Ovis aries: one gene and its partners. The protein of the gene in region 1 purifies or fractionates together with the protein of each later gene. This does not show direct contact. Links are inferred from orthologs where the notes say so. Each region holds a gene or a part of one and is shown in the gene's direction. Other genes may lie near its edges. The genes, in order: RAF1, BAG2, DICER1, EMD, CDC25A, AKAP8L and TIMM50.

The links.
Region 2: the proteins of RAF1 (region 1) and BAG2 purify together in Homo sapiens (co-immunoprecipitation; 3 studies listed by BioGRID and IntAct, with this or other methods). This does not show direct contact. The link is inferred for Ovis aries from reciprocal best matches to the Homo sapiens genes RAF1 and BAG2.
Region 3: the proteins of RAF1 (region 1) and DICER1 purify together in Homo sapiens (affinity purification with mass spectrometry; 3 studies listed by BioGRID and IntAct, with this or other methods). This does not show direct contact. The link is inferred for Ovis aries from reciprocal best matches to the Homo sapiens genes RAF1 and DICER1.
Region 4: the proteins of RAF1 (region 1) and EMD purify together in Homo sapiens (affinity purification with mass spectrometry; 3 studies listed by BioGRID and IntAct, with this or other methods). This does not show direct contact. The link is inferred for Ovis aries from reciprocal best matches to the Homo sapiens genes RAF1 and EMD.
Region 5: the proteins of RAF1 (region 1) and CDC25A purify together in Homo sapiens (affinity purification with western blotting; 3 studies listed by BioGRID and IntAct, with this or other methods). This does not show direct contact. The link is inferred for Ovis aries from reciprocal best matches to the Homo sapiens genes RAF1 and CDC25A.
Region 6: the proteins of RAF1 (region 1) and AKAP8L purify together in Homo sapiens (affinity purification with mass spectrometry; 3 studies listed by BioGRID and IntAct, with this or other methods). This does not show direct contact. The link is inferred for Ovis aries from reciprocal best matches to the Homo sapiens genes RAF1 and AKAP8L.
Region 7: the proteins of RAF1 (region 1) and TIMM50 purify together in Homo sapiens (affinity purification with mass spectrometry; 4 studies listed by BioGRID and IntAct, with this or other methods). This does not show direct contact. The link is inferred for Ovis aries from reciprocal best matches to the Homo sapiens genes RAF1 and TIMM50.

Annotation. Positions count from the first base shown.
Region 1 is NC_056072.1:56,466,534-56,470,033, forward strand, and holds part of RAF1 (RAF proto-oncogene serine/threonine-protein kinase), read left to right. Parts: intron 1-1,264; coding exon 1,265-1,363; intron 1,364-3,476; coding exon 3,477-3,500. UniProt on the Homo sapiens protein: Serine/threonine-protein kinase that acts as a regulatory link between the membrane-associated Ras GTPases and the MAPK/ERK cascade, and this critical regulatory link functions as a switch determining cell fate decisions including proliferation, differentiation, apoptosis, survival and oncogenic transformation.
Region 2 is NC_056073.1:3,197,015-3,201,276, reverse strand, and holds the start of BAG2 (BAG family molecular chaperone regulator 2), read left to right. Parts: upstream 1-1,462; 5' UTR 1,463-1,614; coding exon 1,615-1,727; intron 1,728-1,729; exon of another isoform or gene 1,730-2,735; intron 2,736-2,952; exon of another isoform or gene 2,953-4,262. UniProt on the Homo sapiens protein: Co-chaperone for HSP70 and HSC70 chaperone proteins. Acts as a nucleotide-exchange factor (NEF) promoting the release of ADP from the HSP70 and HSC70 proteins thereby triggering client/substrate protein release.
Region 3 is NC_056071.1:57,745,440-57,749,650, reverse strand, and holds the start of DICER1 (endoribonuclease Dicer), read left to right. Parts: upstream 1-1,411; 5' UTR 1,412-1,500; intron 1,501-1,932; exon of another isoform or gene 1,933-2,250; intron 2,251-4,211. UniProt on the Homo sapiens protein: Double-stranded RNA (dsRNA) endoribonuclease playing a central role in short dsRNA-mediated post-transcriptional gene silencing.
Region 4 is NC_056080.1:80,070,509-80,074,688, reverse strand, and holds EMD (emerin), read left to right. Parts: upstream 1-1,380; 5' UTR 1,381-1,504; coding exon 1,505-1,586; intron 1,587-1,684; coding exon 1,685-1,792; intron 1,793-1,959; coding exon 1,960-2,037; intron 2,038-2,226; coding exon 2,227-2,360; intron 2,361-2,831; coding exon 2,832-2,878; intron 2,879-2,960; coding exon 2,961-3,297; 3' UTR 3,298-3,700; downstream 3,701-4,180. UniProt on the Homo sapiens protein: Stabilizes and promotes the formation of a nuclear actin cortical network. Stimulates actin polymerization in vitro by binding and stabilizing the pointed end of growing filaments. Inhibits beta-catenin activity by preventing its accumulation in the nucleus.
Region 5 is NC_056072.1:51,718,774-51,722,256, forward strand, and holds the end of CDC25A (M-phase inducer phosphatase 1), read left to right. Parts: intron 1-701; coding exon 702-813; intron 814-1,036; coding exon 1,037-1,177; 3' UTR 1,178-2,983; downstream 2,984-3,483. UniProt on the Homo sapiens protein: Tyrosine protein phosphatase which functions as a dosage-dependent inducer of mitotic progression. Directly dephosphorylates CDK1 and stimulates its kinase activity. Also dephosphorylates CDK2 in complex with cyclin-E, in vitro.
Region 6 is NC_056058.1:7,577,393-7,580,892, forward strand, and holds part of AKAP8L (A-kinase anchor protein 8-like), read left to right. Parts: coding exon 1-10; intron 11-835; coding exon 836-944; intron 945-2,396; coding exon 2,397-2,538; intron 2,539-2,630; coding exon 2,631-2,736; intron 2,737-2,831; coding exon of another isoform or gene 2,832-2,881; intron 2,882-2,929; exon of another isoform or gene 2,930-2,972; coding exon 2,973-3,103; exon of another isoform or gene 3,104-3,500. UniProt on the Homo sapiens protein: Could play a role in constitutive transport element (CTE)-mediated gene expression by association with DHX9. Increases CTE-dependent nuclear unspliced mRNA export.
Region 7 is NC_056067.1:48,516,520-48,520,579, forward strand, and holds the start of TIMM50 (mitochondrial import inner membrane translocase subunit TIM50), read left to right. Parts: upstream 1-1,260; 5' UTR 1,261-1,271; coding exon 1,272-1,379; intron 1,380-2,307; coding exon 2,308-2,464; intron 2,465-2,987; coding exon 2,988-3,019; intron 3,020-3,224; coding exon 3,225-3,246; intron 3,247-4,060. UniProt on the Homo sapiens protein: Essential component of the TIM23 complex, a complex that mediates the translocation of transit peptide-containing proteins across the mitochondrial inner membrane. Has some phosphatase activity in vitro; however such activity may not be relevant in vivo.

The DNA of each region.
Region 1 (3,500 bases):
GGCATTCTCCTGGCTGCAGCATTCGTGTGAGCCTTGTGAGAGAGAATGCACGAGCTTTCTAGTCACTGAGTGCTCGTCTCATGGAGGGAAGATGCCCAACTGATGTGAATATCACTTTTTTCTATGTATGACTTTTGGTGCTAATGGCGATCTGTCCTCTCATACTTCAGTCTTACCATTTGTGCATTTCTGAGACAGAATGTTTCCAGAAAAGCTATATGATTTAGGTTACAAAGTGCCCTACTACATATAGATTAAAAAAAAAACAACACAGTATTTTGATGTAGTTGGACATTAGGCCAGTATTTCCTAGAACTGCACGCTAGAGACTCTGTGTTCATTGGCAGGTCAAGATTGTTCGTGTTCTGTAGTCACTAGGCCAGTCACTTAGGTTGGTAGTCCATTGGTGGACTCCCCAGGTGGCTCAGTGGTAAAGAATCCATCTGCGATGCAGGAGACCTGGGTTTGATCCCTGGAGAAGGGAATGGCTACGCACTCCAGTATTGCCTGGAGAATTCCATGGATAGAGGAGCCTGGCGGGCCACAGTCTGTAGGGTTGCAAAGAGTTGGACGTGACTTGAGCTACTTAAACAACTTACTCTGCTGCTGCTGCTAAGTCGGTTCAGTCATGTCCGACTCTGTGTGACCCCATAGACAGCAGCCCACCAGGCTCCCCCGTCCCTGGGATTCTCCAGGCAAGAACACTGGAGTGGTCTGCCATTTCCTTCTCCAATGCATGAAAGTGAAAAGTGAAAGTGAAGTCGCTCAGTCGTGTCTGACCCTTAGCTACCCCACGGACTGCAGCCTACGAGGCTCCTCCATCCACAGGAGTTTCCAGGCAAGAGCACTGGAGTGGGGTGCCATTTCCTTCTCCGATGAATGTGGTTGGCTCTCATCATAACCGACATGCCCATCCACGTCCCCTCCAAACTGCCCACAGTAGAAAGGAAAAGACTGAAACCCAGAGAGAGAAAGTGACCGCTGCTCTGAGGGGCTCCTGAGTCTCCTACCTGGCTTCAACTCTGAGGCCTCATTGTTGATCAGGGGCTGCCGAGCTGCTGTGTCTGAATCCTCTTCCCCTCTGGGATCCTGTGGCCCAGTGGACGTGAGCAACAAGAAATAGCTGGCCAGCAACTTAGTCTGGGTAGCCTAAAATGGTCCAGGAAAGTGTGACTAGGAGAAGCTGAGTTTGGAAGGCCAAGCAGGCTGACTGTAAAATCACTATCACAAGTCTGTAAACCAGCCTTTCTCTGATTTCATTTAGATTGTTCCCAAATTCCACTGTTGGTGATGGCGGGGTCCCAGCGCTGCCTTCTTTGACGATGCGTCGGATGCGAGAGTCTGTTTCCCGGATACCTCCTGGGTACTTTGCACCTACTGCTTTTATGGGAAGTTGTACTGGGGCAGGTGGAATTGAAAGTGTGAACACATAAAGATTTTAAAATTAAAAAAATAAATAAATTAAAAAAAAGAAAGTGTGAACACAGAGGACAGGAGTTCCCTTGAGGTCCCTTCTCTTTCCATGTAAACTGTGCAGCTTCTGTGGAACTCAGCATTGGTGTTAAAGCAAAATGTAGAACTTTCCTTTTGTTGTCCTTTAGTTCTTAAATTCTGGAAAGTGAATACAGTTAATTCTGGTATTCTGGCATGTCCGTTATGTCTCATTTGTGTGTTTTGTTTTTGTATTTTTTATTGAAATGTAATTGCTTTACAGTGTTGTGTTACTTTCTCCTCTGCAGTGAAGTAAAGCAGCTGTATGTATGCAGGTGTCCCCTCCCTCTCCCACCCCAGCCCTCTAGGCTGTCATTTCACTGAGCTGAGCTCCCCGCGCGGTATAGCAGCGGCCCTGTAGCTATCTGTTTTACACACGGTAGTGGATACATGTCAGTCCGAATCTCCCAGTTCATCACAGCCTCCCCTTCCCTCACTGTGTCTGCAAATCTTTCTCTACGTCTGTGTCTCTAGGGCTGCCCTGCAGATAGATTCTTTGGAGCTGTGATTCCACATTCCACATATATGCATCAGTAGTTGACATTTGTTTTTCTCTTTCTGACTTAACTCTGTATGACAGACTCAAGATCATCCACATCTCTACAGATGATCCTGTTTTTTCCCTTTTCTGGCTGACTGAGATTCTCCTGTCTACACGTACCACATCTCCTCTCTCCATTCACTACATTTCAAAGACTTTGAGATTTGCCTTTGTCAGTATGCAGTGAGCCTCAGGGGAAGGGTCCCAAAATGATATACAGTGATTCAATAAAAGTAAAACCCTCGACTTTGAAATACTTATTATGGCCTTGCATTGCTAAAACCATGATGTTTAATAAACTGCTATCTTGAAAAAATCTAATTAGATTTTTAATATAAAAAATCCATTTTAATGTGCCTGTAAGTTTGCACATAATCTGTCTTTACTCTGTTTTCCAACTTTAAAATCAGAGTTTTGTTGAGTTCACATGCTTCACTCAGTTCTACACATGAATTTGGAACCTAAAATAATTCTACATCTTTGCCCCAAATATCTGACTTTAATTTATATGTAGTCATATAATATTTAATGGCCTTTGTAAAACTAACATAGAAATTATTCAAGGCAGCATATCTTAGAATAAGGAATTTGTATTGAAATGATACTTGGATGTATTAGTGTATGACCTTATTTTTCTTGATAATTTGAAACGCATGTCTTTCTGAAAAACTGTACTTGCTTCTGAATATTTAGATAGAAGAAGCCAGGCCTCTGAGGCCATTCATGTTGAATTGCCTGGAAAGGCAGTTTTTTAAGGCCATGAAATAATTTCTCTTGAAAAACTCTTTCATCCCTTGAATTCATGCATGGTGCTAACCTTGTCTGAACAAAACCCAGAGTAATCTTTTGAGCAAATGACAGTGTTACGCTGAATGCATGTTTCCAGTTCGCTCGTGGGAGAGTGGCATTGGGTAAAAGAAGCCAGTGATAAATGTCAGAGGTATGCAGATCTGAAAATCAAAGTCATTGTAATTGATTTTGTGAGCTGTTTATGGGGAGAGGATGCCCATGAGTAAAGCGCTACTTGTGTGCAGGCACACTGGTCAGGTCTAAGATGGTTAGAAATCTTCCTTCAGGTTTTCTCATTTAGTCTCGAAATGAACCTGGGAAAGTTCAGCTAGCTTAATTGTACAGGGTAGTGTTGAGATGGTCTAAAATTTTGGAGTATTCTGTAGACGTGATTTATTGAAGTATCATTTCTTTTTACATGAATTCTGAGCACATATGTTATTTCCTTTTTAAAAATTTGCATGCAGAGGCACCTCAACAGAAGAAAAATTGTAAGTGGTGCATATTTAGATTGACGAAAGGAATACTTTTGTCGAAGGTCATAGTGTAAGTAGGGTTTGCCCCGAGTATGTTAATGAAGTAAGTAGTTGAAAGATTTTTCCATTCCAGAGGCCTGAGTGTCAACTGTGGACTTTTGTTTCTCCTTGTTGCCTAGTTCCCAGCACAGATACTCCACACC
Region 2 (4,262 bases), on another chromosome or scaffold:
TTTTCCATCAATTTTTTTTCTTTTAAATTTCTTTTAAACCATTTATTCTTTCACTCACAAAGTATTTATTGAGTACTTAACATTTGTCAGCGACTATTCTAAGCACTTGAAATACATCAGTGAGCAAAAGGAAGCCCTCACCTCCGCAGTGGGGCACACTTGGGGGGGGTTGCTGAGATGAGGAAGGAAAACAGCCGCCCGAAAGAGCTGAGGAGCGGTGGGGGTGAGGCGGGGGCGGGGCTTGCTCTTCGTACTAGAGTGGTCGGGGTCCTTAGAGAACTTGAGCAAAGGCCTGAAGGTAGGGAGTGAGCTTATCCAGACATGCACAGCAAGGCTAGTGCAGGCAGCAGGCGACGAGAGTCCTCTGAGGCCTCTTCTGAAGGCCTTGGCTTTTACTCATTTCACAAGTGAGCCGCTGAAGGTTTCTGAGGAGTCATTTGCTGTGCCTTATTCTGGATCACTGCAGCTGCTGAGCTGAGCACAGACAGTGGTGCAAACAGCACCAGACCAGATGGGAGGGCAAGGCTGGGATGCTGGCCCAGTGGGGAGTGAAGACGGGCCTGGGTATTCTCTGGAGTTGGAGTCCACTGAGTCTGAGGTGTGAGAGAGTCTAGCACATTCACAAAACGTCTAGGATTCCACGTTTGTCATGATACAATAAAACGTCTAATGAGGCCAGATGACCCCCTACAGCAGTTGTGAATTAGTATTTAAGAGTTCAGAGGAACTGGGATCTAGCCTTAGGGGCCTCATCTCTGTTCAAGTACCTCGACTTTGATCTCAGATTAAAGGTTGGGCTCCAGCCTTGAACTGTTATTATCCCCTTCCCGGTGCCCTGTGCATCCCCTCCGTGTACTGCTGGGCAGAACGCCTAGTGTGCTCTGGCCCCGCCACCCCTCTACTACTCCCTGACCTGCACGGTGGCCGAGCGGCCTCCATGGTCTTCTCATAACAGGAGGTTTATACAAATGGGGTTAGAAACGGCCTTAAATAACAATCATTTCACTCGAATTCCAACCAATAACTTAAACAGAGAAGTCATTACAAATGCTTTCATGCGAGTGGGTGTGAAAACGATGAGGTTCACCTTGACCCCTACACGCAGCTGGACAGGGCGGCTTTTTGTCTTCTGCTCTGTTGGCGTCCAGACTCCAGTTCTCACCTCGGGAAGGTGCCCGGGAACCACGGCTACGCAAAGGACCCCTTCCTCGCGGCGGATGGCCCCGGAGCGGGGAGAGGGCGGGGCTGGTGCGAGCCCGCCCCGGGGCGTGATCGGGGGCGGGGCGCCGCGGGCCAGCCTGGGTGAGGGCGTGGCTCACGCGAGCCCCGCCCCGGCTATGCTTGGGGGCGGGGCCTCCGTGGGGCGGGGCGAGGGCGTGGTTGGCGCGGGCCTCGCCCCGGGGCGTGCTCGGGGCGGGGCCGGGCCTGGCGCCACGCGGAGCCGCCCCGCCGCGCCGCCCCCGAGGCAGCTCGCGCGGTCGGAGTCCGGCCGCCAAGCCCTCGCGCCCTTATCTGGGTGCCCTGGCCCCCGACTTCGGGTTTGCGGGCAGCGCATCCGAGTAGACGGTTGGCGCGTGGGGACGGCGGTGACCTCGGGCCGCCCGCCCGGCGCAGATGGCTCAGGCGAGGATCAGCGCCAAGGCCAACGAGGGCCGCTTCTGTCGCTCCTCGTCCATGGCCGATCGCTCCAGCCGCCTGCTCGAGAGCCTGGACCAGCTGGAGCTCAGGTGCGCGGGGCGGGGGCCGCGCGGGGACGGAGCTGCGGGCGAGGACCGGGGGGCGAGGGCGGAGCGGAGGGCAGCGCGGCGCTGGGTCGGCGCGGCGGCCCCCCACCCTTCGGCGGCCCCGAGCGCCGGGACCGCGCGACCCCGAACAGAGGAGGTAGGGGGGACGTGACTCGAGACGACGGCCGTGCCGCCGCGGAGCTTCCAGAACCTTCCGCGGGGGGCCAGGTGTTTCCGGCCCACTCCCCGCCGCGAGCGGTTTTAGGACCGGGGCCGGTTAGTGGTTTCTGTGCTGAGCGACCGAGCCCTTTGCAAAACGGAAAAATCCGTCTGGCCTCAGGCCCGAGAGCAGCGGACAGGTGTCTCCCCAAGCCGCGCTCGGCCTCACCGGGGCGCCGTCCCACCTTCCCGGCCGCCAGGGCCCGAGCCGCAGCGCTCCCTCCCGGTCGGGGTGTCCCTGCGGTCGGCGTGTCCCCTCCCGGTCGGGGTGTCCACGGCGGTCAGCGCGCAGAGGGAAGCCCTGGCGGCGAGGGTCGGGCTGAGGTCAGCGAGGATGTGACTTTGGAGCAGGGCCCGGGGTCAGGCGCGCAGAGGTTACCACCGGTCAGGAGGAGCTGCTGTCTCCCTTAAAGCTTTTAGTGCTTTTCTGAATTTGAGAAGATTTAGGAATCTGAGTTCCTGAAAACCGGAGAGCCTGTTTTGCCAGTTTTCCCAGAGCACAGAGTGCCTCACCCCGGCTCTTTCCCTGAATTCTTTCCAGGCTGTGCTGCTGTCAGTTTCTATAGAAACCGGTGTGGGGACCCTGCTTAGTGACAAATGTAGTCACCGGCTTGTATAGGATTCCTAAATAATGTGTAAGAAATTTGGGAAATAATCTTTTCTCTAACAGTGAATGAAGACTTCTGTGTACTTCCCATAACTTCTTATTGTCATTGAAGGTCCGGTAAATTGTGTGCAGGTGTAATTACAGGCAGATCTTACCAAGGCGTCCAAAACTCCCTAAAACCACAGGTAATTTTTCCCATAGTTACCAGACTCTGAGTGAGCAAAGGAATACATGTAAGACACAATTTTAAGAAGGGCTGCATATGTGTCTTTATCTCAAAACAGGACAAGGGGTCTGTTTGCCAGTAAAGTACATTAATAACCAAATGAGGCACTTATTATCATTTATTAATATTTATGTTGACTTTCATCATTTATTGTATAGTTCTTTTTATTATTACAGAAAGAAACAATGTCTTCTCAGAAAATGAGACGCTCACCACCACGATTTCACGGAGAGTGACAATGGTCCTTCTCCAGCTGAAGCAGGTGGAACAGGCAGAGCAGTTCCTGTGGACGATTTTATGTAGCAGCGTTAACAAGTGACTGAGCGTCTCTGGTCTCAAGAACTTTGAGGGCATGTTCTCAGCCATTTCAGGGGGGCTCTTCCCTAGTTGGAAAGAAAGGATGTTTTCTTCTCAGCTCGGGCAGGACACAGTTCCTTTCTTGAAGCTGAGTTATTGTTCTAAGACTTGAATTGATGCCTCACATAGGGCAGGTGCTCATCTTTAAAAGGAAGTTTCTTGTTTGAAATATTACGTTCTAGGGCTTCCTTAATGTGAAATGAATTCTGATTACCGTGTACAAGTGGTTAATCACTTGCTGAATTAACCCTTGAGCTGAGACTGATAAATGTGTGTTCAGTTGTTCATTTTAAGGACTTTTCTAGTTTTAGACTGATGAGCTTTGTTTCTTTCTTTTAAAAAAAAGTGATGCTGACAAAATTAAGTCTTTTGGAAGGTTAAGTAAAAAATAGAGAAGTTTATGAAGGCAGATGGGTCATGGAAGAGAGCACTGAGCTGTTAGAAACTAGAATCAGGCCCAGAAGATCAAGTTTAAAAAGAAAACAAGACATTCATGTGTTAACTGTCATTTACTTTCATGTTACGAGTGGCTAATAAAGCAGTGTTGCAGGCACACTGAAAATCACAGACTGTACCAGGAGGTCTGTGTTTACTGTCCCTCTGTTGTGCTAGTCTCAGCAAAAACTTTCTCCGCATGAAATCGAAAATAGAATTATGCTCAGTGCTTCATGACCTGCCATGTGAACTGGTGTCCATGGTGTTTAAAGTTTTTCAAATGTTTGACCGCATCTCACAAATCGCTGAAGAAACTCCAGTTGTTTCTAATGCGTTAGCACGAAACTAGATCTCCTTTTTTGCTTCCTCCTAAAAAGGTGATGTCTCTCTCTACGGGTTTTCGTGACCGTGCAAATGGCCTCTGACTTTTCCATTTGTCAGTGGCTCTGAGCACTTTGCTCACGATTGTTACTAGTTTAGCAGTGATCATATAATTCATAAATGATACCCTCCAACAGGTATCTTAGCTAACCAGCATGACTACAGGTCCTGTGTCTTTGTGGAAATTATGTCACCCTCATTGTCCAGGCGGGAAATTGAGGCTTGAGAAGTTAAAAGAGCTCAGGAGTGGCTGCAGAGCTTAATGCTTTACGCCTGAGTTTTCTGAGTTACTATGTCATATTTCAAAGTGTAG
Region 3 (4,211 bases), on another chromosome or scaffold:
TGTTTACCTGTTTGGAGCATGGGGACGGGTGCAGGAGAGTCTTTTTACTCTATATCTTTTTATGCTTTCTAATGAATGAACCATATATCTAATACTCTTTTTTAAAGTTAAAAAAAAAAAAACCTGATGAAAATCAGACAAAGCTGGTGAAGGAGAAGCTCAGCTAGTCTTGACAGACTGAGAGGACAATAGGAGAGAATGAAAATTTTACCTGCCCACAAATTTCCACTATTAGTGAACCCCAGTGCCTATCCCCACCCAGAGATGTCATTCTTCTTACAAAGGATTATCTCCAAAAAGGCTTTACTTAGCAACCTGGGGAGGCCTTCTGCCTATAGTGCAATATAAATGCTTGACACATATAAGAAAAGCTATTTCTATGGAGACCTGACAGAGTGTTCTGACTACCTCCTAATTTTGCCCATGAACATTCTATGTTTTTCTGAAACATTTTGCCAACTGACGGTATATATAACGATCAAAATGTGAGCACTGTAGTACCAGCCCCGAAGCCAGATCCCCAGGGTTCAAATCTCAGTTGTTCACTTGTTAGCAGCTTACTTGCTAGAGGTTATGAATTTCTTTCCTCTGTTATTATAAAATGGAGGGCAAGCAACAGCCTCTGCTTTACAGGATCCACATGAAAATCAAAGTTTACAAGAGCCCGTCCAATACCAACATAATGCTAGCCACAAAAGACATTAAATACTTCCTAGAATTTAAAAAAAAAAACAATATTTATCCCAATATGTCAAAAACATTATCACTTTAACATGTAATGAATATAACAAATAATAGTGTGGTTTCACATTCTTCTTTGGTAAGGAACACATACATCTGATTTTCAGGTCTCCTATCTCTGTTAAGACTGTGCTGTGCTTAGTCGCTCAGCCGTGTTTGACTCTTTGTGACCCCATGGACTGTATGTAACCTGCCAGGCCGCTCTGTCTACGGGGATTCTCTAGGCAAGAATACTAGCGGGGTTGCCATGCCCTCCTCCAGGGAAATCTTCCCAATTCAGAGATCGAACCCTGGTCTCCCAAATTGCAGGCAGATTCCTTACCGTCTGAGCCACCAGGGAGACCCCAACACTAGCCGGATTTTAAATGTTCGACGGCCCCCTTTGCATCAGCGCAGCCCTAGACAAGTCTAGCACGATGTAGGTGCTATGCGCTCTTAGCCGAAGCTTGGTTGCGGTTATGCTACCTCTTTTGGGGTAAACCAGTCTATCAGGTGAGCAGTCTGGAAGACATGCATATGTTTGGAATAAACTAATGCGATTTTCTTTTAGCCAGTCACTTACTGGCCCTCCATATTAATTCACAGCTACAAGATAAGGTGCAAGGTTCCGATCTATGCAAATAGACTATTCACAGAAGTGGGGCCGCTGCCCTAATCTCATTTTCTGATCATCCTAGTTCCGGGTTGGGGGAAGGATGCGGGGTTAATTGTCTCCCCTAATGCGGAGGGCCCTGGACCACTAACCCTGGGGAAATGCAGGCGAGTGGGACGGTCCTTTAAAAAGGGGATGGGGCGGTGAAAAAGAGCGCCGAGCTCTCGGGAGAACAATTAACGGCCACGGCAAAGGGCCACGTTTAGGGGGCGGTCGGTGCCAGAAGGGGCAACCATGAAGGCGGACGAATTCCGAGCGCCAGCAGAATTCTCGCCGAGCCAAGCGAGCGTCCGCAGGCCGGGCGCGCGGACACCCGGCGGGCGGCGAAGGTTCCCGGCCCCCGCGCGGGCCCGCGGAACGTCCGCGTCCAGCCCCGGCTCCTCTGGGCCGCAAACACCGCCAGGGGCCTCTGCCGCTCGCGTCCACTGTCTCCCGGCTCCTGAATGGCTGGGGGGCCGGGATTAACCTTTCACCGCCGCGCGCTGTCCAATCACAGGCTCTCTCTCATGCCGGCGCGGCGCGAGGGGGAGCGCGGGGGCGCGGGCGCCGGGGAGATTCTCCAAGCCGCCGTGCGCCGTTGCCGCGGGGCCGTGCGCGGGCCTCGAGCGAGCCGGGCGCTGCGCAGTCTCCGCAGGCGCCGGCGGGAGGGGTCGAGGCGGAGGCGCGGCGCGGCGCGGGCTGCTCCAGGCCCCAGGTTGGATGGAGTGACCTGACAGCGGGGACGAGGCGACGGCGAGCGGGAGGACATGGCGGCGGCGGCGGCGGCGCCGGGCGGCACCGGGAGGCCTGGGCTGTGACGCGCGCGCCGGAGCGGGGGTCCGATGGTTCTCGAAGGCCCGCGGCGCCCCGTGCTGCAGGTGAGGCGGGCTTCCCCGGCCGCGGAGCCGCTTTTGTGTCCCGGGAGTGGGGGGCGGAGCGAGGGAGCGGCTCCGCGCGCCGCCGAGGCCCGCGTGGGCTCCGGACTCAGGTGGGGAGACCGGCGCGGGGCAGATGGCGCGGCCTCCTCGCTCGGTCCTGGGCGGGGCGGGCACCCGCGCCGCCGGGCTCGGCGCAGCCCCGACTCGCTGGCGCGCGTCCTGACTCGGCGCTCCCGGGGACTTTGTGCGCGGGGTCGCCTGGGCACCCGGTGGGCACGCGGGCGCCTCCGCACCCGGAGTGGAGCGCGCGGGGGAGTCCTCGCCGCTCGCCCACCCACCCCCGGCCCGCGGATAGCTGGGCTTTGACAGGTCCGGCTGCGCGCACCAGGGTGGCGCGGGGTCCGCCGCCGCCGCCGCGTCTCGGGAGCATCCCCGGGAGGCTGCGCGGTGGCTGGCGCTGGCCTCCTGGGTGGACACCTTCGAGGGGCCCGGGAGGGAAGGCAGGCCGGGCCCTCCTGCGCTGGCAGGAAAGCACGAGCCTTCGGGGGCGCGCCCGGGCGAGGATTGTTCGTGTTTATTGGCAGGTGACCAGCTCTCTGGGTCCCCAGGGGGCGGGTGGCCGAGGCCATCTTTTCGCCCCTCCTCTCCGATTTTTTTTTTTTTTTTTTGGTGCCAGCACGCCCCTGGATCCCTGCAAAGCGAGGCTTTCGCAAAGGGTTTTTCAATCCTTGGCAAATCAGTGTAATGTTTTAAGTTAGCACTGCAGATTTTTGGCGGGGGGGGGGGGGGGGGGGGGGGGGTAGACTTTCCAGAAAAGCTGAGTTCCTCCAGGGCTTTGCCCGCAGTGTAGAGCTAGCAGGCCACTTAATGTGGCTTTTTAATGGCCTGAAGATGTGCAAAGACAGATGAGCGGGGAGTATTTACTGTAGAGTGTTCAGTCCATGCTTTTGTGGAGAAAGTCATGCTTACAGGGACACCTCATTTACAGATGATCAGTCTTAAGTATTGAGGTGACTATCATGATTTACAAATGTTCAGGTGGTGAAAGAGTTTTAATTTGAAGTCTTTGCTTGTTTGGTGCTTTGGATTTTGCTGCTGCTGCTGCTTAGTCGCCTCAGTCGTGTCCAACTCTTGTGCTGTGGATTGTAGCCTGTCAGGCTTCTCTCTCTGTCCGTGGGATTCTCCAGGCAAGAATACTGGAGCGGGTTGCCATGCCCTCCTCCAGGGCGTCTTCCCAACCCAGGGATCGAACCCGGATCTCCTGCATTGCAGGCAGAGTCTTTATCTCTGAGCCACCAGGGAAGCCCCTTGAATTTTTCTGGATCTTCACAATCCTGATGTTCAGTTCGTTTCCTGTTGCTTGGTTTTCAAGTGCAGCAGACTCAGTGAATGGAAAAGGGCACAGATTAGGAATTAAGTAACTCGGGGGGGGGGGAATATATATATATATATATAATGTGTGTTAGTAAAGGTCAACTACATTGAAAATATATTGGTATTAACATGAAATTTTCTAAATACCCATTTTAGCCAAGGACTCCAGTAATTTATTAGAGGATGGATGATGGTACAAGGTTCTGAATAAGGGTGCTAGTGAATAGTAATTTTAGTATTAATATCTTTGGGAACTAGGTGGGCATAATCAGTTTATTTTGCAAAACTTTGTTAGTAGCTCTCTGTGGCAAATCATATTACATGTAATATATGCTGTATATACTTACATATAGTTTTTCAAATTTTCATTGTGGGACATAGTTTGTAATACTGTAGATTAGAAACACTACGAAGAGTGCTTTTAACATGATTGCTGTGAACATTGATTCAGAGCATCAAAATGCTGTTTTAAGAAACGATGTACACATTTAATTTGGGGAGAAAAGACCTTCATTTCCTACAATTATTGTAATAAGGGTTTGCTTTACCTTTTATGCTGTCATCTCATCATTAAAGGTTAAGTTCTG
Region 4 (4,180 bases), on another chromosome or scaffold:
CCTCATATTTTGGGAGATGGAGAAAGCCTCATTTCTAAAACCTGGCCAACAGCAACCTTGAGGAGGGGCTTCGTATGTGGTTAAACCAGGGCCCTATCTTCTCTCCACCCCATGAAGGAACTTTTGCTGAGACCGAGGCTGTGACCCTCACCAACTGGGCCAGTCTGCCAGCCTTCATCTCAGTTCCGGGAGAGGCACTTAAGTTTCCCCTCATTCCATTGGCTGGCTTTGTTAGAATGTCACTGTCATCTTCTTCCTAATTTTCATGGGACAGCTCTTCCTGACCAAGGCTCTCACCAACTCCCTGTGACAGGCCCTGGCTGCCTTCCATGGTTTGCCCCCCTCAGTCCCCTGGCCCCCCTGTCTGGGAGGCTCCCTCTGCACTCCCACGACCCTGAAGCCCACTGAGACCCAGGTGCTCAGAGTGCATTATCGGAAGCCTGGGGCAGGTCCCTCTGGCAGCCTCCTGGGTCACGCTGGGCTCAGGGGCCATCCCAGCCACGGTGGGGAAGCCCCTCGCGCCTCTGGTGCACTGCCGGTGGGTGAGGCAGACACCCGCCATCTCGGCATCACAGGGCGCCCCATGCCAGTGCCCATTGGCATGCCCGGGCCCCTTCCAAGGCTGCTGGCTCCTGGAGGGCCGGTGGCCTCCTGGCCCAGTGCCCCATTTCCTCTGGGGTGCAAGGGGAGGGAGGGAGGCGGTGGGAACCGGCGGGCGCAGGCCAGGATCCTGCAGAGCGGGAAGGCGTGCTGGGGCAGGGGGTCTGGGGCTCTGGGGGGCGGTTTATGGTCAGGTGGCTACAGGCTTCCTTGGTGTGGCGCGCGCGCGCACTGCGCGTGCAGCAGCGCCTAGTCTGGACCCGTGCTCTCCAAGGGCTTGCCCCTTCGGATCAGGCCCCTTCTCGCAGCCGCCGGCGACGCGCCCGCCTGGGGCGCGGCCAGGGACCCGCAATTGCTGGAGCAGAGGGGCAGTTGAGACCGAGCGGACTCCACGTGACTCAGGGAGGGCGAGCCCCGCCCAGCGCGCAGCCCCGCCCAGCTCCCGCATCCTGCCCAGTTTCTGCCGGTTGCATGGCCACAGGCCCCGCCCCTCCACCCTTCTGACCCAAATAGCCGAGCGGGTGACGTCGCGGCTCGCGGGCCCCGCCCCGCTCCCAAGCCGGGGCGGGTCTAAGCTAGTTCCCGTCGCGCCCAGGCCCCGCCCCCTCGCTGGGGTCCAGCCCTAAATGCGCCAGCGTGTGACGTCTCTGGGCTCGGGAGCCCCGCCCCTCCCCGCCCATTCGCGAGGCTCCACCAATCTGCGCTGGCAGCTCTCTGCGAGGCCCGGCCCCGCTCCGCACAGCGCGCGCTGCCCGCGGAGACCGAGACTGTGACGCGGGCGTGACGCGCGCGTAGCCGCTCCCGAGGCACTCCTGTTTCCCCTGCCGCGCTCCGAGGCCATCGTCTCTCGGCCGGTGTTGCAAGGCCCAGGCCTCCCCCAGGCCTCCGCCGCCCGCTGCCCGCCATGGACGACTACGCAGTCCTCTCGGACTCCGAGCTGGCCGCCGTGCTGCGCCAGTACAACATCCCACACGGGCCCGTCGTCGGTACGCGGTGGACGGAGGGCGGGCCCGCTCCCCGCGCTTAGCCCCGCGGCCCCCTCTCGGCCCGCTCCCTGACCGCCCTGTGCCCCGCGTCTGATCAGGTTCCACTCGCAAGCTCTACGAAAAGAAAATCTTCGAGTATGAGACCCAGAGGCGGAGGCTCTCGCCCCCGAGCTCGTCCGCATCCTCTTTCTCCTATCGGTTCTCGGGTGAGGCTCCCGTCCCAGGGCCCCGCCTGGCCGCCCTTGGGGACACGGTTTGGGGGACGCTGAGGAAGGGGTCGCGGGGGTGTGGCCAGGGCACTGGCTGGAAGGGGCGCGGGGGAAACGGGAGGGGACCCCTGTGGGCCAATGGTCCTAGCCCCTCCCCCATTCAGACTTAGATTCGGCGTCCGTGGACTCGGATATGTATGATCTGCCCAAGAAAGAGGACGCCTTACTTTACCAGAGCAAGGGTAAGGCAGGGGTGGGGTGGGCACTCTGACACCTTCCTTCCAGTGTCAGCCAGAACCTGAGACCTCAACCCCATGCGTCCTGCAGTAGCCCTGCAGCACCCCCCCCCCCAATGGGATTCAGATTAGGGCCATCGGGCCAGGTGGGGACACCGTTGCCCCTTCTGCTACCGCTGCCCCCCCCTTCCTAAGGCTATAATGATGACTACTATGAGGAGAGTTACTTGACCACCAGGACTTACGGGGAGCCTGAGTCTATGGGCACATCCAAGGGCTTCCGCCAGCCCTCAGCTTCACTCTCAGATGCTGACCCCTTTCACCGCCAGGTGAGCTGAGTTGTCGGGCACCCTGTACTTGGGTACAACCTGAGGGGGTCCTCATGGGGTTTGGATGAGTCAAGGGAACCACTGGGCACAAATGGTGGCTCAGAAACCTCCAGGGAGAGGTGGGGCCTGCAGACACCTGCCTGGTCAAGACCTTTGGGGTGGGGGAAGGGGCTGTCAGAACTGTTTTGACTAGTGTGCCCAGGACGTGCCCTGGCTCTGGTCTGGGATCTAGGTTTGAGCTCTTTTTGAGAATTCTGGGGCAGAAAGTAGGATGCAGGCAGCCGGGACAAGTGGCACGGCCCTGCAGACATAAGGCTGAGGACCAAGAAGGGGGTCTGGAGGGTGGCAGGGCCCAGGCCTTTAATCAGTGTTCAGAACAGGCTGGGAAGGGCAGTTTGGACTGAGGGTATGACCTGTCATACCTACACCGACCCTGTCAATAGGTATTCTCATTCTGATTCACTTCTGTAGGTCCGTGATGACAATCTTTTCTCTTTGGAAGAGGAAGGCAAGGATCGGTGAGTATTAAGGCGAGCCAGGGGCTGGGGCTGATTCAGGACTCAAGCCCTCCTGGTCTACCTACTGCACTCTTTGCCTCAGGGAACGCCTCCTGTATGGCCGGGACAGTGCCTACCAGAACATTGCACACTACCGCCCTATTTCCAACATCTCCAGAAGCTCCCTGGGCCTGTCCTATTATCCCACATCCTCCTCCACCTCGAGTGTGTCCTCATCTTCATCTTCGGCCCCTTCGTGGCTCACCCGCAGAGCCATCCGGCCTGAAAAGCAGGCCCCTGGGGCTGCCGGCCTGAGCCAGGATCGCCAGGTCCCGCTCTGGGGCCAGGTGCTGCTGTTCCTGGTCTTTGCTGCCTTCCTGCTCTTTGTTTACTACTCCATGCAGGCCGAGGATGGCAACCCTTTCTGGGCAGAGCCCTAAGGGTCTGACCTCGTACCTTGGAGGCCGGCTCCTCTTGGAAGCCCTGGCTGACTGCCTTATCAGTGTTTGTTGGGGGAGGGGGGTTGGGGCTTTTCTGTGTGTTCTAGCTTGGGGTTACCAGGACATGGGCAATGTTTGCTGACCCCTGCCCTGTCCTGCCAGGGAGGCAGCAGGCCTGGGCCCTCTGCGGCATGGTGGACCTGGGTGGGCCTGCCTCTGGATCCTCCTGGCCCTGCTTGCCTGTCACCCTTCGGGCCTAGGAGGGCAAGACCCTTCTCCTGGAGAGGAGAACATGGTTTTGGTCATCGCATGCCTCCTATTTGTCGTCACCTCATGGGGGGATTAACCAAAGGCCACCCTGAGTTTGTTTTCGTGGACACAATAAAAGACCATTTATTTTTAATGTGTGGGTTCTTTTCTTTAACATGGGGAGGGGTTGGGCTGCCCCCCTGCTAAAGGCTTCCAGGCCTTGGGTCTCCAGAATTGCCATCCAACTTTGTCAGTTCATCCTTTCGTCCTTTGAGCCTGAGATAGGGATCATAGGCAACCCATAAACTCATTTATGTTTTGCTTTTGGTGCCCGCTCCCTGACATGTTACCAGAAGCTCTTGTAAGTGCTTATAAAAAATAGTCACACAGAGAGCCCACTGGGAAACGCAGGTGAGGCTGCTTGCACCGTGTCAGTTCTGGGTGTTTCAACTGGGACCAGCAGACACCAACTGTGGTGTCCAAGGGCAGAGTGATGGGAAGGAAATGAGGCATCTGCTTGATGGGCTGCTGGAAGGCTGGTTGTCTAATGACAGGGGAAGGCTCTCAGTCCTCTGGAATGTTTCATCTCCTTTTAGTAAACCAGTTCCTCACCTGGGTATTACCACAAGGTTTT
Region 5 (3,483 bases), about 4.7 Mb from region 1:
CTTCATCACCCCCACTCCTGGGTGAGTCCTGGCCACTGCTGGGCTTGGCCCATCGTTCAGCCTGCCTTTCTGTTGAGTTAAACTCTGGCTCTTTGGGTTCCCCCACTGCCCCTAGTCCTGCTGGTGGGGCTGCTGCTCTCGGGTGACATCCTTCAGGGACAGTGTGGTGACTCCTTATGCAAATGCCAGGAAAGTGTGATGTCCTCTCGGCAAAACCTAACATGACGCCTTCAAACACTTTTCAAATCCATGTTCGCAAAGAATGGGGTTATGTTACTTCCAGGTTATTGCCACACGAGAGGTGAAAAGAACTACGCCGTCTGCCCCCCATACACAAGCTTTTATGACTAAGGCCCTATTATAGTTTACTACAGAGATAAATTTTATGCCAAAATAAGTGGAAGTATAGCTACAATAAAGCATCACTTCAGATTTAAAATAATCGGTGGTGGTGGTGGCAGAGAAGACACTGGGTGGGAACCAAGACGCTGTTTAACTTGGAAAGTAGGGAGGAGACCGTCCGCCTTCCAAGACAAGGCCGTGGAGCTGGCTGTGCGCAGGGTCCCTGAGGGTCGCGGCAGCGGCGGAAATCACATCTGGCACTGTCTCCAGGAGTGCAGGCCAAGCTGGGGAGATGTGTAAGAGGTACTGCTTTCCCCGTGCAGAGCGAATCAGACTCTGGCTCTCCTTGCCCTTTACAGGTGCCGATATGTGAGAGAGAGGGATCGGCTCGGTAATGAGTACCCCAAACTCCACTACCCAGAGCTGTATGTCCTGAAGGGCGGATACAAGGAGTTCTTCCTGAAATGCCAGGTGAGATGGACTCTCTGGAGGGCACAGGCCACCCCTCACCACCCCCTAGTTGGTGGTCATGGCTGTTTCCTACCCAGGGTCTGGGGGTTTGCCCTGAGCAAAGAAGGAGCCTAGAACCGCCCCCCACCCCACCCCAGCAGAGCCTTGTGGCCCCCGGCAGGGAGGGAGCAGGAGTGTGCATGGGAGGCCAGTGTGCCCAGATCTTGGCCTGTCTTCCCTCCAGTCTCACTGCGAGCCCCCCAGCTACCGGCCCATGCACCACGAGGACTTTAAAGAAGACCTGAAGAAATTCCGCACCAAGAGCCGGACCTGGGCCGGGGAGAAGAGCAAGAGGGAAATGTACAGCCGCCTGAAGAAGCTCTAAGGGTCTCGCGGCCAGGCGGCAGCAGCCTCCCAGCCCTCCCCACTCCCCTCTTTGCTGCAGAGAAACTTGAGCAGAGGGGTCAGCAGCACGACACTTGGAGAGAAGGGCGGAGGCCTCCACGTCTTAAACCTACCTCGCACCCTCCCGAGGTTGGAGCCCGGAGCCTCCCGCCGCCTCTCAGTCCCTGGAAGACGTCCTTCTTCAGCAGGGCGCTCAGCCAAGGTGGTCACGTGCCGCAGCAGGGTTCCGAGCAGCAAGTCAAGGCGTTCTGCCTCCTCCCCCATGGTTGGATGGGCCCCTTGCGGCCTCGCTGGGCACTGGCCTTGTCTCCTGAGGGGAGAGACGGAGAGAAGACTGCCAGACGCTGCTGTCCAGACACCAAAGACGGCCCGGGAAGCACAGGTCTTTGTGGGCTAGCCCACATCATTAATTTATTCAACTTCACCAATCACTTTTTTTTCTTTCTTTTTTTTTTAAAAAATCAACTCCTGGAGACTTTTATTTAATTGCTTCTTTCAATTAGAATACTGCCATCCTAGGTAGGATTTTATCATCCCGGGGACTACCTCTGCCTTTCATTTTTAAAGAAAAAAAGAATAAAGGAGGGGGAAGAAGAGGGACATGAGTTGTGGGACAGAGAACAAGGGGCTCTGTCTGTCTCCCCCGGGAGGCGCTGCAGTGCTGGGGCCGCTGCTATTTACAGCCAAGGACTGAGACACTGGTGGGAGCAGGCGCCGGACTCAGACTTGGCTTCAGGACATAAGCTAAATCTCCCAGACCTACCTCGAAAGGCCCCTGAGACCTACTATGGGGGAGTGACCCTGCTTTTCCTCACCCCAGCTCCCTGTGATGTCACTGGGCAAGAGTCACGATCAGGAAAGCACTAGAGGCAGCTTCCGTGGGGCCACTCCCAAGTCATTGTTGGAACGTATAGAATAGGTATCCCAGTGTTGGGGGGCAGGGATCGGGGGGCTCTGTGGGATAAGGGAAGGGAGTATACTTTTGAGTGTCTTCCTTCATCATTCCGATACTCTTTGACAGCTTCTGTTTTTTTTAAGAAAAAAAAAAATAGCCCTTTTATGAGTCAAGGAGTATGGAATTCATGTTGCCTGGGCCCCCCAAGTATGGGGAGGGGCTGGAAGCCCCTGGCATTAGAAAGGAGTGGGTGCTGGCAGAGATGACTACAGCGTGTGTTTCTCGGGAGGCAGCAGCGTGGTGGGTTTTGAAGGTAAAACTTTGAGTTTATCATGTTTTAATTTGAGGGACATTGAGAGATGGGTTATCACCAGTTCCCCCTCATCTCACCCCACAGAAGTGGGGATCTCAAAGGAACACCTCCCAAGGAGCTGGGGCTGAGTGGATTGATTCCAGACGGCTGTTTGGTGCCTGTTCATCCCTACCCTTAGGCGCTGGCTTCCTCACCATCTCTGCTCCACTGGGGTGTTGCCAAGTTTTTCTTATATTCAAGAGTCAGTCTCCCCTCTTGCCTCAGCTTCCTGTTCTGGGGGTGGGGAGGAAATCAGTGATACTGGAGATGACTGGTTGCTATGTTATGGGTTTGAGTTGCTTTTGACTATAAAACAATCTTGTTAGAAAAAGTATATGGGGAGGAGGGGAACAGGAGAAGGCCTCTACCCCCACACACACACTGAGACCCATCTGAATTGGTCTCCAATCTTGTTTGTAGGGATTCTGTTGGTTGAATGCCTGAAAAGGGAGGTGGGATGGCCTTCAGATCATACCAGCTCAGCTAGCATTGCTAACCAACTGTTGCAGGCTCTGAAAATAAAAACAATCTTGAACCCATGCTCTCTGCCTGCCTCATGATGGATTTAAAGGGAACTGTGAGTCTCTAAAGACCTGGGACCACACCTGGCTAAAAGCACTGGTTAGAGGCAGTGACATTTTCTCAAGATGCCAAAGAGCTGTCATGTGGCCTGACATCAGGCTTGGCCAGATGACCTTCAGTTACTCCCCTGAGTCCAAAAGCAAGCTTGTGATTCAGATTGATTGACAAGATGAAATGGGGATAGGAAAAGCCTGCCTGGACTTCTTGACATTCCCTGACAAGATGTATTAATTCATAGGATTGAGCAACAGGCCAGAGGAGGGACCAGTGTAAAGGAGATAGGCGTTTCAGTTGTGTTCTGAAGGAGCCAGAGAGGACACTGCAGAAGGAAGTCAGGCACATGGTGAGTCACGGGCCCACACGCAACCAGAGAAACTTGGATGTGCGATGCTGGGGGCTGCTGCCAGAGTGGATAACAGCTGGAGCGAAGGTCTATTACAAAATAGAGTGGAGCCTG
Region 6 (3,500 bases), on another chromosome or scaffold:
GCAGACAAGGGTGAGTCTTCTGAGTGGCCCGGGCACTGGGGGCTTTTCCAGATGCTTGTGGCGGGAGGGGGCCAGCCGAGGGCAGGGTTTTGGCAGAAATAGGCCCAACTTGGATTGTCCCTGTGTGGCTGACTATGTGCTGGTAGGGAGTAATCTCTCTTCCTCTTCCTGGTTCCTACTCTGGCCCTGATCTCAGACAGTACACTGGTTTTGCCTTCAGGTGGGTGGGGCAAGCAAAAGTGTGGGGGAACCCCAGGCGCAACCCCTGCCTTCAGGCCCTTAGTAACATGCAGTTCCGAGTCCTCAGTGGCTGGTGTCCAAGGTGGGACCCTTGGTGCAGTTTTTACGGCTCTGGTTTGCGTGTCCTTTCCCTTAGCACCTCTACAGCCCCTGTTGGGAGTCCGTGTCTCCCTATTCGAGTGATGAGCGCCAGCAGGTACCTAACCTAAATCCAGCCTCAGCCTACTGTTGCCGCGGTACCCAGTGTGGGTGGGCAGGGCCATGTGAGCTTTGGGGCCTTTTACCCTTGGGGGCTGCACTCAGGCCCTACCTGAGGCCTTCCTGCATTCTGCCACCTGGGTCCTCTGAACTTTTGCCAGTATCTCCACTGAGACAGCCTCTCTTTACCTTCCAGCTTCCCTGTGGCTCACTCTGCAGAGTGTGGATGTCCTGGAACGTGGTGGGGTCAACTCCCCACACATCCCAGGGCACCCGGTCCTGCTTGCAGCCAGAGGCCTTGCTCAGACAGCTGCTTTCAGAATGGACCCCCTGGAGTAGAGAGTGGATATCCAGCCAGAGGCCACAGACTGATAGCCGTATCTTTCTGTTCCCACAGGGGTCCTGAGCGCCCAGGATGAGAGTGGCCAGGCCAAGCGCAAGTTGCAGGCAGGCAAAAAGAGTCTGGACAAGCAGAAAAAGCGGCAGCGAGACCGCATGGTGGAAAGGTAACCAGCTTCCCTCCACCCCTTTGCCTCTGCCTCGCTCTGGGGCTGCCTCCAGGAGAGCAGGGCCATAGCTCTGCTGCCTCACCGCCCTCTGGCCTCCCTTGGGAGCCGCCACCTGCTCGGCCGTGCATGGACCCTGCTTTCCGCCAGGCCCAGCTCCCAAGGCCTGATTCATCCCCTGCCCCTGTGCGGCCGCCTGGCGACCGCTAGCGACTTTGGCCTGAGATCTGACACTGCTCAGCACCGTTGCCCAGAAGCTCCGGCGCTAGGTCACTTGGCACATGAGCCCCAAGGTGCACTGGGGGCCTGATGCCCCTGTGGGAGGGGGCCAGCTCAGCAGAGACTCAAGGTCCAAGGCGCCTGTGCCACCCCAGCTAGCTGCCAAGAGGCCGTCACCGTGCTCAGGAGAGATGGCAGCACCTGTGGGCTGTGGCAGCCTCGGGCCTGCCCTCTGCCCGGCCCGCCGGCCCTGTCAGGCCGGGCCTGTCTGCGGCTGAGCCCTTCACGCCCCTTGGTCGGGTCTGTCTGCCCTCAGGGCTCCCGCACTGGCGCTTGCCTCCTCCTCCTCCGCCTCAGACTCTTGCTCTTGCTGGACCTTCCTCAGCCTCGCCGGCGCCCGGCCCCTGGGCTCTCCAGACAAAGCTGACCCCGTGGCCCAGATAAGGACGTCCGGCAGAGGTAGGGACCTGCCCCGAGGCCTCGGTGGCGGCTGGCCTCTTCCGCCCCTTGCCACGGCGGCCTGCTCCGGCCCAGGCCCCAGACCCCGGGCTTCTGCTGTGGACACGCGGCCCAGACAGAGCACCTCGCTCAGGTGACTCCAGGCTGCCCTCTGGCAGGCCAGGCGGGCGCCCTCCTTCCAGCTCAGACTGGTCTCTTCTCAGAAGAGGAAGATGAGGCAGCAGGTGCCCAGGCCTGCTTGCCTCCCATCCCTCCCGACACTACCCCCAAGCATTCTGAGCAGAGGATGGGCTGGGTCTTTGAGCCCCTCAGCCCCCACAAGGAAGATGCAGCACCTTTCCGGGCCCTGCCTCAGGACTGCGTACTTCACTCTGCACTCAGGGTCACCTGGCTCACGCCAGGGCATCCTTCCTTTTGCTCCCCAGCTGGGCCAAGTGCACAAGCTCCTGCCCAGCCTCGGTAGAGAGGCCCTCCAGCAACCTTCCAGCGACTCCTTGCCTGTTGCAGCTGCTGCTGCCTCAGGCTTCAACCTCCTGCCTGTGGGAAGGAAGAGCTCCTGCCCTGTCCCCTGCGTTGCAGTAACTGCAGCCTGCAGATGTTCTGTCCCTTTGCACTCCCAACCCCACTGGTCCTAGCCTGTCCCCCTGCTGGGACCACACCTCAGAGGCCCATGAGCAAGGCCTGTTTCAGGGCTCACAGCTGGGTTGGGTGAGGCAACAGCACTCTTTCCCAGAACCCTCTTGGTCTCAGCTCTGCGTTTCCCTCCTGTGGCAGGATCCAGTTTGTGTGTTCTCTCTGCAAATACCGAACCTTTTATGAGGATGAGATGGCCAGCCACCTTGACAGCAAGTTTCACAAGGAACACTTTAAGTACGTAGGCACCAAGCTCCCCAAGCAGACAGCTGACTTTCTGCAGGTGAGCCTTGGAGTGGTTGGTACAGCTGTTGTTACCCTGCAGACATAGAGTGGCCCACACAAAGCTTGATATCTCCCTGGTGTATCCGGCAGGAATATGTCGCCAACAAGACGAAAAAGACAGAGGAGCTCAGAAAAACCGTGGAGGACCTTGATGGTCTGATCCAGCAGATCTACAGAGACCAAGATCTGACACAAGGTGAGGAGGTTCCATCCCAGTCCTACCAGGCCGGACCACAGCCTTCCCTCCTCTGGTTCTCAGAGTAGGGTCACAACACCCCTCTGTTCCCCCAGGGAGGGTCAGTGAGAACAGCCTCAGGCCCACGTGGAAATGGCAGGGTGAGGTGAGGAGCTGGTCTGGCATTTTCCCCCAACTCCTGGGTCTTTCTTAGGTGTCTGGGACCAGTGGCGACTCCCTCCTTCTCCCCTCTACAGAAATTGCCATGGAACATTTTGTGAAGAAGGTAGAGGCAGCCCACTGTGCAGCCTGTGACCTCTTCATTCCCATGCAGTTTGGGATCATTCAGAAGCACCTCAAGACCATGGATCACAACCGGAACCGCAGGGTGAGTGGCCACCAGTGCCCTCCCATCATCCTGTGGGCTAACTGGCTTAGGCCTCTGGGGAGGTGCTGGGGTCATGACCCCTGCCTGCCAGGGGCAGGAATATAGACACATCTCCAGCCCAGAGCAATCAGCCACGCTACAGAAGGATGGGAATCGGGGACTCTGTGTGGCAGGTGGTGGCATCAGAGCCAGACCTTAAGAAGAAGTAGGCTCTGGGAAATGGGGACCTGCGTATGCATAAGGGCCAATGGCCAAATTAGGTTCAGACACCAAACAGGGAGAAGCATACGGTACAAGTGTTGTTGGAGGAGGGATTGGACATAGGTTCACAAGGGCTGGGCTGAGGGGCCTGGTCTTGCTCCTATCGGCAACAGAGTTTTTAAGTGGGGGACTAGTA
Region 7 (4,060 bases), on another chromosome or scaffold:
GCCATCATTGACACAATGGACATGAGTTTGAGCAACCTCCGAGAGATGGTGAAGGACAGGCAAGCCTGGCATGCTGCAGTTCATGGAGTCGCAAACACTTGGGACATGACTGAGTGGTGGAACAACAATCCCTCCACAAATCTAAATAGGACCTATGGTGCAGGCTCCAGCATCTGATGGTCCTTTCCCTCGAGTCCATCTAGCAGTAACCTCAGAATCGCTGTAGCTCATCTAAGGGCTTGGGTGGGGCTGGGGAGCAGTGTAGAGAATGGGGCTTAGTACCTTAACCACCTTCACTTTTCTCATTTGATGTTCACGTCTTCTTACAAATGTAATATAACTTGTATTAAAATAGTTCAAATGTTTTAAAGGATATGTCAGGAGCACCCATGTCCCCACCACCCAATTTAGGAGCTATCTGTGTACCAAATAAGAAGGACCAGTCCATTTCCCTCCAGAAGTAACACAACCCTAAAATTCTGTGTCTTTCACCTGACTTCGTATGTTTACTACCTTAGTTGTTGCTGTTGTTTAGTCGCTCAGTCCTGTCTGACTCTTGTGACCGACGACCCCGTGGACTGTAGTCCAGGTTCCTCTGACCATGGGATATTCCAGGCAAGAATACTGGAGTGGGTTGTCATTTCCTTCTCCAGGGGATCTTCCCCACCCAGGAATGGAACCTGCGTCTCCTGCTTGTCAGGCGGATTCTTTATCACTGAGCCACCTGGGAAGTCCTTATTATCTTAGTATTTATCCCTAAATGCCGTGTGGTGATTTACATGTGGAAGATTAATCATGGCTCCCGTAGCCTCTAATTCTCGGATTTCCTCTCAATACCCTGAGCCCGCAGCGGTTCGTTTGGCTGAGCCTCCATGAAACTGGCTGACTTTCCAGACCCAGTTTAGGAAACTCAAGCAAGAAAGGGCTGGGAGAAGGGGAGGGAAGGCGGATGAGACCTCTCGGTCGCTCGTGAGGAAGGTGTGTGAAGCTGGCTTTTAGTTTTTAGGACAAATCCAGCAACAATTAGGTCCCTTCCTTATGGCCTCCGCTTGACCCCGGGCAGTGGGTGTCCCGCCCCGTCCTGTGGCGCGGGCGCTGGAACGCCCTCCGGCCTGAGCAGGACGTGACGGCGGGAGACTCCCAGCCCGCAGCCTTTTGTCTCTCTCGGGCTCCCGTCCACCCACCCCGCCCCTGTATTACCATTGGCCGCGGCCCCGGCCCGGGGCGGGGGGAGAGAGTGAGGAGGCGGGGCCGCGTGGCGTCAGCGCAAGATGGCGGCCTCGGCGGCGCTGTTCCTGCGGTTGCGGAGCGGGCTCCGGCAAGGCGCGCGGGGGCTGTGTGCGAGGCTCGCGACGCCGCCCCCTCGGGCCCCGGACCAGGTGAGCCGGATGGGGTTGGTCCCCGGGTGCTGGGGCTCCTTCCTGTGGTTCCGGGCGGGCCGGGGCCGCCCGGAGCTTCTGGAACGCAGCACCTCAAGGTGCTGAATGGAACGCCACGCGCGTTTTGAGTCTCTTCCCCGCTTCCCGGGGTTGGCAGCCCTTGCTTCCCCGGGATAGATGCTTGGGGACTCAAGTGTGTCCTCTGAACCTTACCTCCTCTGGATCCCACCTCTTCTGGACCCCAGCTTCTCGACCCCACGTGGGCGCCGGGGAAGGAGGGGTCACCTGCTCTCCTGTCTCGGTGACGGTTCAGGTAATACTCGAGGGGGAGGGGCCCGGGACACTGGAGTCCCAGCCTGGCCTCGCGGTATTTTCCCCGCCGTGGTGCTGGTGGTGTTGCTAGGTCTTCTGATTCGACCTGCCTCCATCTTGACAGAGACCGTGCCCTTCTGACCTCCGGGTCCATTACTTCTGTGCCCTGCTCCCCAAGTCCTAGCAGGCTATTGCTCCTCCCTTCCGTCCCCCTCCATACGCCACTGTGAGCTCCAGACGGCCGGAGGACTTAACTCCCCGTCCTGTCCTCTTGCGTGGCCTTCAGTGGCTTGCTCCAGAAATCTTAGTCAGTGTTCAGTCAGGGTCCCTGATCGTATCTCCCTTCCCTGCTTCTCCACCCGCGCTCCGGTTCTGTAGGATCCTGGGCCCCGGGCTTGTCATCTCTTGAACCCCTGGGATCATAGCGCCAGTTTAGTTCTTGACTTTTCTGAGAGACCCAGTCCCCTACCTGCCCCTTTAGGCACACAACACCTGGAGGCCATATGGGTGTCCTCTTCCTGGCTCTCAACCTTGATTCTTCTTAGACCAGGGTGCTGGAAACACCCCGACCTTGTTTCTCTTCTTTCTTGGCCAAGCTACCCCCTCTCAATTGCAGGTTGCAGAGATTGGGAGCCGAGCAGGCACTAAGGCCCAGACGCAGGGACCACAGCAGCAGAGAAGCTCTGAGGGTCCCAGCTATGCCAAAAAAGTGGCACTCTGGCTCGCTGGGCTGCTTGGGGCTGGTGGGACCGTGAGCGTCATCTATATCTTCGGTGAGGAACATATCCCTGTCCCCCAGTTATGTTCTCTTGGCCCTCTGTTCTGCTGGGGGGACTGCCCCCTCTTTCCCCTAAGGACTTCACCCATCTTCTTTCCCTGGCTCCTCCCTCAGGGCAGCCAACTGGAACTTGGAAATGAGAGAAATCCCCCTACTACCCCTCTGCTCAAGGTTCTACTCCTTCTAGTTGGTTCCTGTACTAAGCTATAGGGAGTCAGTTTAAAGGGGGGAAGAAGAGGTCTGGACCAGCCCCCTAAGCTACGTTTTCCCTCAGCACCCAAAATTCCAGTCCTCCCTCTAGTCTGTTTATTCCTCAGAGACCCAGGAGACCCTGCCCCAGCCCTCCTTGTCTCAGAGACCCAGATATTCTGGCTACCAGCCCCCTCCTCTTTCTCAGGAGACCATACCTCTAGCCCCCTTCCCTCAGACCCAGGAGGCTAGGCCCTCTGCCCTCTTCCTCCCATAAGTCCCAGGAGACCAGGCCTCAAGTTTCTCATTCATCACTATCTCCCTTGCAGGAAACAATGCTGTGGATGAAAATGGTGCCAAGGTGAGTGGGAGAGAGACACAGAGGCCTTACCAGGGGTCGCATCCTGTGGGTCTCCTCCCATCTGGTCTGTTCAGGCTCCTTTCTGGTCTGGAGTGAACCCTCCCTCCCAGGGACCTTTGCCTGCTCCTCCCAGGGCCCCGGAGATTCCTTGCCTGGGTTTTGCCTCTGCCGTCCCAAACCCTTCTTTTTTCTCTCTACCTCCCAGATTCCCGATGAATTCGACAACGGTGAGTATACAATCGTAGATTCTGGGGTCCCCTGACCCTCTCTACTGTGCCCTCCCCATTTGGTTCCCCCCGCCCACTTCCACTGGGAGGTGGGGGAGTCAGCAGCTGTATGGCTTGGGGGAAGAGGGGCATACAGAACTCCAGTCCCCTTCCCTGGCCCCTCAGCCCAGGAGCAGATGGTCAGGGGCAGTGGGGGAGGGGACTCCTGGGTAGGTGGGACTGCCTGGGGGAGAACTGGGCTTTCTCTGCCAGACACATGGCTTCCTGTGCCTTAGATCTGAGCATCTGCAGCCCCTCACCCCCTTGTTTATGACAGCCTCTCTTTCCCACCAGGCCATAGCCCATCCAGCTCATTTCCAAAACAATGCCTCCTTCCTCCCTCCCCGCCTTCTGATTAGCCAGCTTTTAGGGAGTTTCTGACAAATTGGATAGTAGAGGGAAGCTGCCAATTCTATCACACCTGGTCCTTCCCAAGAGAAATATAAAACTGGTAGGTCCAGAAAGCCACTTGTTTGTGCTGGAGATGTTTGCAAGCCGGCATGTTATTACGTTGGTGTTGGCTCAGAGGGTAAAGCATCTGCCTTCAGTGCGGGAGACCCGGATTCAGTCCCTGCGTTGGGAAGATCCCCTGGAGAAGGAAATGGCAACCCACTCCAGTACTCTAGCCTGGAAAATTCCATGGACAGAGGAGCCTGGTAGGGTATAGTCCATGGGGTCACGAAGAGTCGGACACGACTGAACGACTTCACTTTCACTTTAAACTTGGCAGGTAGCTAAGTATGTGTTAACTGGGCAGATGTAGAGTCATACTGTT